2 linked regions of the Arabidopsis thaliana genome follow. The protein of the gene in region 2 interacts with the protein of the main gene of each other region in a pairwise test. Each region holds a gene or a part of one and is shown on either strand. Other genes may lie near its edges.

Evidence for each region. Proteins that work in one complex are often made in the same cells at the same time.
Region 1: the proteins of HSFB3 (region 2) and AT3G43430 interact in a two-hybrid assay, tested with the Arabidopsis thaliana proteins (one large-scale study listed by BioGRID).

The regions. Positions count from the first base shown.
Region 1 is NC_003074.8:15,352,555-15,357,222, reverse strand, and holds AT3G43430 (RING/U-box superfamily protein), read left to right. Parts: upstream 1-1,728; 5' UTR 1,729-1,961; coding exon 1,962-2,465; 3' UTR 2,466-2,688; downstream 2,689-4,668.
Region 2 is NC_003071.7:17,378,862-17,384,882, reverse strand, and holds HSFB3 (heat shock transcription factor B3), read right to left. Parts: upstream 3,237-6,021; 5' UTR 3,161-3,236; coding exon 2,864-3,160; intron 2,744-2,863; coding exon 2,306-2,743; 3' UTR 2,032-2,305; downstream 1-2,031. Other genes in the region: ABCA1 (ATP-binding cassette A1), read left to right, coding at 119-269, 408-544, 631-705, 794-1,097, 1,190-1,323, 1,405-1,466, 1,563-1,644; NTRC (NADPH-dependent thioredoxin reductase C), read left to right, coding at 5,855-6,021. UniProt on the Arabidopsis thaliana protein: Transcriptional regulator that specifically binds DNA sequence 5'-AGAAnnTTCT-3' known as heat shock promoter elements (HSE).

The DNA.
Region 1 (4,668 bases), on a different chromosome or scaffold from region 2:
TGAAGTAATGGAATCTGAGTAGGATAGTTAGGAAATTGATGTGTCAGATTGGGACCACCTTGTCTTTTTGTTCGTAGACGACATCATGTGTCATGTGCATGTGGAAAGGATTTGTTCCGTTTTTTTTTTTTTTTTTCCTAGAACATAATTAAGGACTATCATTATAAAGTTAAATCGTTCTCTAATTCTTCTTTTTATATCCTAACTAATACTTCATTGAATACATCATTGAACTCTTACCATTAAAAAAATAGTGATGCTTACGTAAATTTCTAAAGTAAAACCGAGAAACAGAAGAAGCCAAACCACTGTTATAAATGGGTTGATGTCTATCACCACAATTGAGATTCTTTATTAATTAGCTATTGCTATACGATTAATATTTAAACTTCAACGAAGGTGCTACGTATAAGATTATTTTAATATAATGAAAAAGATGCGACGTAAGCCGAAATATTTGATATACATTAATATCATCTCGATTCACTAGTACCATCATTCATATCATAATATACTTAACTACGGTTTTGATTGATAATCACTTTACAAAACGGTACAAAACGTTATAAAATATATAATTTTAACAATTACCAATCACAAAAACGTTGCTAAAAATTTTACTCTTAGTTTTTTTTTATAATTTTCTCGTATAGTTTTTTTTACAGCTTTGCATTGTTTCGAAAAAGCTAACAGCTAACAGATTTTAGTTACCATCGGACCCTATAAATTTATTCGTGAAATATCATAAAATTATTTACACCTTTTAAGTTTTTATTGTTTAATCATTTTTCTTTCGGTTTCTTTTTGTTAAATTAAAATAGATAAGTAATGAAAATCAAAAGAAAACCAAAGAAAAGAAAAAACCCAAAGAAAGTTATGTGAGAATATGGGATATTGGAATTGTGAAAATATATATATATATTTTTTTGTAAACTATATTTCTGACGTAAAAGCTAACAGAGAACATAAAAAGCACATGAATATATATGTAAAGAAAACAAGGCGTAATCGTTAAGGCAATAAGCCACAAATGGAGTAACAAATTTAAAGGTTTATGTGAATGTGACCAAATTGCTTCTAAAAGATAACCAACGATAATGATACTAAAATCTGTTACGTCAAAATGTTTTTTTTTCTTTTCATATATGTTTCTCTTTTTAGGTGGTTTGGTAAAAGGAAGAGAAAAAGAAACGATTACGATCATCTTTTATTCCTCACCGTCTCTCTCAATCTCTCATGCAAGCAAATACTGCAAGCCAGAGTAGCACAGACTGTGACACGAACGCCACTATCCCAACGTCACCTTCTCCTGCTCTTTCTCTTGTATTTCACTTTAGTCTCTTCTCTCAACTGTCGTCACCTAGATATTTTTAGATTCTTATTTCTTCACCCAAAACTCTTTTGATTGATCCTCTGAGTAACATTTAACTTTATAAATGTGTTCAAGGGTTTATATTCCACGATCATATATAAAATTATGTTACAAAGTTTCATTACATTAACTAACAGAACTCTATCCAAACATTAATCTTCTCCTTTTACTCAATTTCAACTAACTAACAGTTCATGCATTGAATTTTCAATTGTACTGTATGAATAAAATAGCTTAATAGCACATTAAATTTGACTGATTAAGTTTTCCAACATCAACAGCTGAATAAAAAAAAATATATCCTCAATGCAGACTCATAATTTATTATATAGATTAAAATATGTGGATACAGATAAGCATAACAGAAAATTTGACACCGAAAGTTGTAATGAAAAAAACAATTGTAAATAAATAAATACTTTTGCAAAAATAATAATAAAAATAGTTAAAATAAATAAAATAAAAAGCCACTTACACCAATGAAAAACCAAACCATCACCACCTTTAAGTTGTCTTTATAAAGACGCATGACTCTAACTTCTAGTCCTCCCTCTTCTTCTCCTCTCTTTCTCTACTCCAAGTTTTCACAATGACATTCTTCATCGAAGACACTAGTCTCATCATCAGCCACGTTCTCTACAAAACGGCACTTATCATCACCGTTTTACGATGGATCTTTGCATGGATCCTCCGTTACCGCTCAAGATCCTCCTCATCATCATCATCTCAATCCTCCTCTTCTCCTTCTATTTCATCACAAACCATCAAAGAAAGCCTAGCCGTGTCCGCTTTCCGCGACGCGGTGGAGAGATCTCCCGCGGCGATAAACGACATGTGTGCCGTGTGTCTAGGAGATCTTGAAGACGAGGACGAAATCAGAGAGCTTAGGAACTGTACTCACGTGTTTCATCGTGATTGTATTGACCGATGGCTAGATTATGAATGTTGCGGCGGTGATGATGATAACCACCGTACTTGTCCCCTATGTCGAACGCCGTTGCTTCCATCTTTCACTGATTACTCAACCGTTACTCAAACTAGTTGGGCTGTTGAACGACTTCTTTACCTCTTCGGCGACGATCTTCTTCCCTGACTTTTATTTTTCTTTTAGAAAACATTTGATTTCATATTTTTTTTATGAATATTGTAATTGGTAGAGGGGTCGAATAGGAAATATAAGAGTGATTGATCGCAATTATACGAAATCGAATCAATTTGATTTGATTGTATATACAAATGTTAAACTGTATTAATTCTCCTCTTCAGATAAATGTCTAACATTTTTTATTATTATTTCAACATTTTTCATTTATTTATCCTTTCTTAGTTGTCACATTCCGTTTTATTGTTTTCTACTTATCTCTATAGTATTTTTTTAAGTATAATTTTTACGGATGGGTTAAACTATTTTCGGATACATATGATACCCAATTTAATAAAAATATTATTCATAAAAGTTTGGGTGGATCGGATTATATTTGACCCGACTCTTCTATTGTTTTTTTTATCTAAAGTTGGATACAAATATTACCAAAATTAGATCATATCTACTAATTATGTTTCTATATTAAATAATACATATAGTTAGAATATTTGGTAATAATTTAAATCTATGATTCTCTTTTCATCTTTATTTAATTTTTTTTAATTTTTTTGGATAATCGTATAATACATAAAGTAAACAATTTTTTTTCATATATTTTGATTCAAATTTTGAAAACGAACATATATTATCCAATTATTGAAAAAGTATATGTTTAACATCACACATTAGCTAAAATATTTAGAAAATAATTCATAATCACACTGTAAATAAAATCAAAATGAATCCAAATCCGAATGACTAGGGACCTTAACTCAACAAGCATCCAAATTTAAAAATTTCAATATGTGCTAATTCTGTTTTTAGTAAAAATGTTTCATTTCACTGGAAATATAATAATTAATATATTCAAAAGCAATAAAAAATTTATAATATTATAAACATCTGAACATATAAAAAAAACCGAGACAGATGAAATTGCGGAACTAGTTTTTATGGTGGCATGGAAGGACAGAGTTTGAATCAACATTAATAAAAAATTTAAAATATCATTAATTCGCCGCTTCAATACGAGGCAGAATAAAATCAATATTTTTTAAATTATTAAATTTGAACATATTAATAGAAAATAGCACAAAACGGATTATATTGCAAGGATGGACTATATAGCGGGATGAGTTGAATTAACATTAATAAATTTTTAAAATATTATTAATTCATCGCTTCAATATGGATTAAACCCTCATTTTATTATTTTTAACACCACTATTATTAAATATATCGAATCAGCTTGATTTAAATAAAATTATATAGACAAAAATAATCTCGTAGTATACCTTTGCTTAATAATAATTGTAAACTATAAAAATATGAATGTCCTACAAAATTATACTATTTACAAATTTTTATATATAATACATAATCATTAAATATTTAAAATCACTACTTAAAATCTAGTTTTCAGTATAAAATTCAAAATCATTGCAAAGACATATTTCATACAACCATATTTGTGTTAAGATCAAATCATGCAGAAAAAAAAAAATTCATATCCAAAAGCCAAATCAAACTAAATTTTTTATTAGATATTTTTAAGAGAAATTATTTACAGGTAGAGAAAAGATTATCTTTTATTTTGTCGGTTATTCAGAAAAAAGCATTATTGGATAAAACCTGATATATCAAAATTTTTACTGTTTTTACCCATGATAAATGTATTCGTTTTAGAATATTTTTTATTGTCATTACAGGTATTTATATGATTGAGATGCGTTTGAAAATAAAGAGACATTTTGGAGTAAAACCAAGAGAATTAAACTAAAGAGAAGAATTTAGAGTCAGACCATGTTACCAGTGTCGATCGATACCATTTGCGGTCGAACAAAAAGTCTCTAGAATTTAATGTTTTGAAGACTACAAAAAATACCCATAAGTTATCTCTATTTGTAAGAAGCCACCTTTTTTTTTCTTTTTTCTCTTGTCATCAGTTTTTATTTAGAGCTCAAAAGAGCCAATGTTGAGGAAAATTGTTTACATAAGTGACATGAAGCGGTTCAGTACGAACTTTTCGTGCCAAATTGTCTGCTTTAACATTTACATTACGAGAAATTAAATATAAAGAGAAACTTGTAAATTCTTCCTTGTCGCTCTGAAAATCGTCCAAATATGCTAAAAATGTCGGCCTTTCGGTTGGGTAAGACACCATTTTCACCAATTCTGAATAGTCTTTAAAAAAGGCTACATCTTGGTTGTC
Region 2 (6,021 bases):
TCTACCGTCTAGGATAAATTAAAAATATATTCAAAATCACAACCTTACTATTAGGCATAAATCTAACTAGTGGAAGTTCCTAATTGGACATTGTCTGATATGTGTTATCTGATAACAGGTGGTTACGGAAAAGTTAGTCGAGTTTGACTTGTTGAAACATTCTCACAAGCCATCGTTCACTCTTAGTGGCGGAAACAAGCGCAAACTATCCGTTGCTATTGCAATGATTGGAGATCCTCCTATTGTCATCCTCGATGAACCATCTACAGGTATAACCCAATCAAGATTTTGGTTGACTTGCCTGACCAGTTTGACTTTAAAATCACTAACGAAGACTTCATCTCTGTTCTACACTAGTTCTTAGCTACTGGGTAAAGTTTTTTGTGTTTTTGTTTTTAATGCTTCAGGTATGGATCCTGTTGCCAAAAGATTCATGTGGGATGTGATATCCCGCTTGTCGACAAGGAGTGGAAAGACAGCGGTCATTCTGACTACTCATAGCATGAATGAAGCTCAAGCACTTTGCACTAGGATCGGGATCATGGTATTTTCTTAACTCATTTTGAACTCCTTAGGGCGTTAGTTCCTTAAATCTTTCCACCTCACAGAACCATACTCCTCAAACTACAGGTAGGAGGCCGCCTAAGATGCATAGGTAGTCCACAACACTTAAAGACACGCTACGGAAACCACCTAGAGTTAGAGGTACCTTTTTACAATGGTGTTTTGTTTCAATGGTAGGAAGGATCATTTCTCAAAGCTTGTGCGTAATGTTGGCTGTCTTACCAATTAGGTCAAACCCAATGAAGTCAGCAATGTGGAATTGGAGAACTTTTGCCAAATAATTCAGCAGTGGCTGTTTAACGTTCCTACGCAGCCTAGAAGTTTACTGGGTGATCTCGAAGTTTGTATAGGTGTCTCTGACTCGATTACTCCTGATACGGCTTCAGCATCAGAAATCAGTTTGTCACCAGAAATGGTACAGAGGATTGCCAAGTTTCTTGGTAATGAGCAGAGAGTGAGTACTCTGGTACCTCCATTGCCTGAGGAAGATGTGCGATTCGATGACCAGTTATCAGAGCAGCTGTTTCGAGATGGTAGGAGCACACATGTCACATACTTTTTTAGATTTGCCTTATTTCACGACTTGTAGCATAAATATATGTTTTATCCGTTTGATGCTGAACAGGTGGTATTCCACTTCCAATATTTGCCGAGTGGTGGCTAACCAAAGAAAAGTTCTCAGCATTGGATTCTTTCATACAATCTTCGTTTCCCGGTGCAACATTCAAAAGCTGCAATGGACTGAGTATCAAGTACCAGGTAAATTATTAAACACAAAATCTATTGGCTCTAAGATTACTCTTGGACTAGTGCTCCATATTTGTCTCTCTTGGGTTGCAGTTGCCATTTGGAGAAGGAGGATTGTCACTTGCGGATGCCTTTGGACATCTTGAAAGAAACCGGTAAGACATTCTTCTTTTAACTGTTTCTTCTCCATGATCCACACAACATCAGTCTTTGTAAGTCTGAGGAAAGAAATTTGCTTCATTCTATGGCAGGAATCGGCTGGGAATAGCTGAATACAGTATAAGTCAATCCACACTTGAGACCATATTCAATCATTTTGCAGCTAACTCATAGCCAGTGAAACCATTATTGCGGCTTGTACAACAAAAACCCTTTGTGACCATAGCCCAAAGAGAGATCTGATCACTTATTATAATCTCATCTGCGTACTCAACATAGTTGTAAATATGACATATACATGAGAAACCTGTGGTCTTAATGTCTATATACATGATGCCTCATATTTTATCTTCCATCAACTAAAAATCTGGAAAAAACCCTAATGTGCCGTATGTTCTGGCCTAAATTCGAAATAAGAGAATGCCAATCTTTTACTTCTAGTTCTAGGCCTGCTTTGAGAGTTGAAAGTTGAGAGTTGAGATTTACCAAAATTCAACCATTTTGCAGCTAGTGATACCATTATTAACGCGGCTTACATAACCAAAATCATCCTGACCACAGCCCAAAGTGAGATGTAACTCATCTCATCTACCCAAAATAGTTTTAAATTTCGCAAATACATGAGAAAACGTTCTCTTAGTTAATGGCTATATATATACACACGATGTACCATGTTATGAACACGAGACTTAACCAATACAGCAAAGAATCCGATATTTCTCGGACATATGTTCTGATCTTGCATGTCTTAAAAGAGTACTATATATAGTTATGCAAAACTTCTAAGAATATGAAGAAACTGGTATATTACGAATATCAATCTAGCAATCTAGTTTCATTCAAGTTTTACTCCGAACAACTTAAGCCCTTCATCTTCTTCATCATCACTTTCATCAGTTGCATCTTCGTCTTCTCCTCTGTATCTCTCCACCAACTCCATAAGCTGCTTGCATTTCTTCTTGGTTTTCCCAAGTTCGCAGCTTAATAACTCGTTTTCATTCTTCAAGCATTTGTTTTCGTCGAGTAATGCAGTGTATACGAAAGAGGATGAAGTGGCGGAAGACTGTTGATCCTCATGGTGATGATCAATCCCAATCCGTTGATGACCTTCTTGATTCACCATCGTTGTTGTTGGTACAACCTGGTGATTAGACTTGTTGTGTGACCAATGTTGGCTCTTCCTTCTTCGGATATTGCTCATAAGCTCTCTTTGCCCCTTTCGAAACATCTCATTACTAAATTCCCATCTTATCGTCGTTACTTTTCGAAAACCCTATAATATTTTTGTAACAACACTCATTAATGCCTTTAATTAAGCAAATACACTTAGTAAACTCAAAGAAACACAAATAGTTTAAAATACTGATTGAAACAGTGAAGCATATATACGTACGTAAGTATTGAGCTGGCGAACGAAGCTAGAGAAGTTGCAATGCTTGAAAAGTGTTGGTAACAGATCTCTAGCGAATTCTGCCGGCTGCCACACGACGAAACCAGTTCCGTATTCGTTCCAAGATATAACCCCGTCCGTCGTCGGATCCTCCACCACTTTGTATGTCTTTACCAAGAACGGTGGAGGCGGCTGTAGCTCCGCCGTGGATGTTGAGTTTCCGATCATAAACTCCAATGGCAAACGCTCCTCGTCGTTAACGTTATCGTTACACCGTAAATGTTCACCAGCATCTTCCATATATAAAACGAAAATTATTATTCTTGAAGAAAACAAGTAGTAGAAGATCTCAAACTAGAAAGACGTAACACGACTCCATAGAAAGAGATAGAGACGTTATTTAATTTAATTAGGTGGTTGAGACAATAATAGAAATACTTTAACAAAAGAAAACAATAATAGAAATACTTTGAACAATTTTCAAGGAACGTACGCTTCTAACTATTTACATATTCTATAGAATATGTAACTCTAACACTAACATGCATATAATCATGATGCATACACACACACACGATTGTGTTTGTAAATATATTTTTCTTATATCAAATGAAAATCGATGTTTGATGACAATATGACATGTAATTTTTCAGGTTTGAAACCAACCATCGATAATATTTACGTCGAATCCACTATACGACATAACTCTTTTTTTTCTCAAACACAACGCTCGTCTCTAACATGTATAACTAACGACATTTTGCTTTTAATTTTAGAATGATATTGGATTACTTTACCCCCAAAAAAACTGATATCAACTTAATTTGTATAGTTGATATTTAGTACTGGTCTTAAGTTTTTCAGGGAAACTGCAGTAGTCGTTGCTTTTACCAACCGAGCTATATTGTCAATATAATTTTAGTTGTAACGTGTGTGTTTGATTAGACGTATAGGAAACAAACGAAAAATGATTTTAAAAAAAATATTAATCACGAGGTATATATGTGAATACACATATATTAATGTATGTTGGTAAAATTGGATATTGTGATATGAAGCAACTCGTTTGGACCCCCTTTAGGTGAGGTGGTACTATCAATTTACGAAACGCAAATCATGCATATTATTCATCATGTCTACCTATATTTGTAAGATTTAGTTTTCTCTAATGATTAATCAAGTACTATCATTAGTAAAATCTCTCGAATATATAATATGGATTGCAAAAATATCACATTAATTACCAATCTTTTTTTCTCTATAAAGTACCAGTTAAAATACCACATAGCAGAAGTTATATTCTTAAACAGATCGTTTTCTAAATTTCATGTTAAATTATATTCAAAGTACAAATCTTTTGTAATGGTATTTTTAAAAATGATTATAAACTTGATATTTCATATAGTTAGTTTTGTTGTTTTGTAGGATCATGTAAATTGCTCGTTTTTCAAAATTGATGACTATCTATCTTTTTGACTATACATGCTTTGTCTAATTGTATGTTACTTTCGACACCTTAATTTGTTGATAATATATAAACAAGTGCTTAAAAGAGTATATATAGAAAAAGTAAGGGGGTTCAGTTGATCTGAATGGAAAGTTAAAAAAGTGATCATTCATCACGGTCGAATTTGATCATATATATAAGTTTATGGTAACGTATAACGGTAAAAGCCAGTAAATTTATAGAAGGAATTCCAAATTAAATAATTCTTTAAAATTTCAGTTGAATAAAAGTTCCCAAAGTTAAAATCTTTTTTTTTTTCCAAGACATAATCAAGTAACTTAAGTAAATGTCGGTTTTAGCACAATAATGCAAGAAAGGAAACCTTTAGATCTCTATTGGTCAAAGTAGGGGACAGTGATGTAATTCAAGTCATCGATCTACTGACTACTGGTGTTTGAAGGGGATTACCGACAATGTTCCTATGACGGCGCGTACCTTCCACGCGTCTGTAAAAGAGAGAGACAACTAATAATACAAATCCTAACGCTTAAGCTCTACTATATCGTTTTAACAGTAGTGATCCATATATATGTCCTGTTGAAATTATTTGTTGAACAATAAGATTAAGGGATCACAAAACTACTCCAGCATATACTACTTGGATATGTAGCTCTTGTAAGGCTTAATTTAGATGGTAAGATATAAACATCGAATTTAAGAATAGTCATCAAGAACAGCTTAGGAAACTTCAAATGGCAGATCGAATTTGGATGACAAGTAAGAACACGGTGGGGGGGTTTTTTTTTAACCATAAAGTTATGCTTAACGTTTAGTGATGTGGCTTCCTAACGAATCTATACAACATCAAGTCATCAAATGTAAGTACATTTTGTTGACTAAAACATTGGAAGTGCATGGAATTCAGACACTAGACTAAAGATAAAGATCCTTGCTTTCATTGGGCTGCTCTTTTTTGGTCAGCTTAACTTTTTGACTTAAGAAAAAATAGTCTGTCACCTTCCCTCACCAACTCCTAGTTCATTTCATTTCCACTTCAACCTCTTCAGAACTAAGTAAACTATATAGTCTTCGCATTTAGCTAGTTATGCTTTATAAATTATTAGTACTAACTTTTTGGCGAAGCAATCCGCACACAGATTAGCCCATTTTCCGGTGGGTTTAAGAATCTTCGTCGTGACTAAATATTCAGTACCAAAACAGGCCCATTTATGGCCCAATATAAAAAGCGTCGTCCGTCCACTTAAACTCTTGGCGATCTTTCCCACTTAAAAAAAAAGCGATTGGCTTATCCCTCCGTTGAAAAGACGAAGTAAAATCAGTCAAAACACATCTCCACCGTTCAGTCGCTTCATCACATATATCCAACGGCTGAAAATCATCTAAGCCTGTGGACTTGGAAGCAAAGAGATAATGCTGAGGCGCGTGAGGCACAGTCGCCAACAGAAAATCGGGATGTTTTTTTTTAACTGCAAAGCCAAAGAGACAATTGTATGGTCTCTGGTAAAGGTAAGGCAATCAAAAAAAATATGGCTGCGTCTCCCAAGATAGGCATCGGTATTGCCTCCGTCTCATCGCCTCACCGTGTCTCCGCCGCCTCATCCGCTCTTTCTCCTCCTCCTCATCTCTTCTTTCTCACTACTACTACTACCACACGTCACGGCGGCTCCTATCTCCTCCGTCAACCAACCCGAAC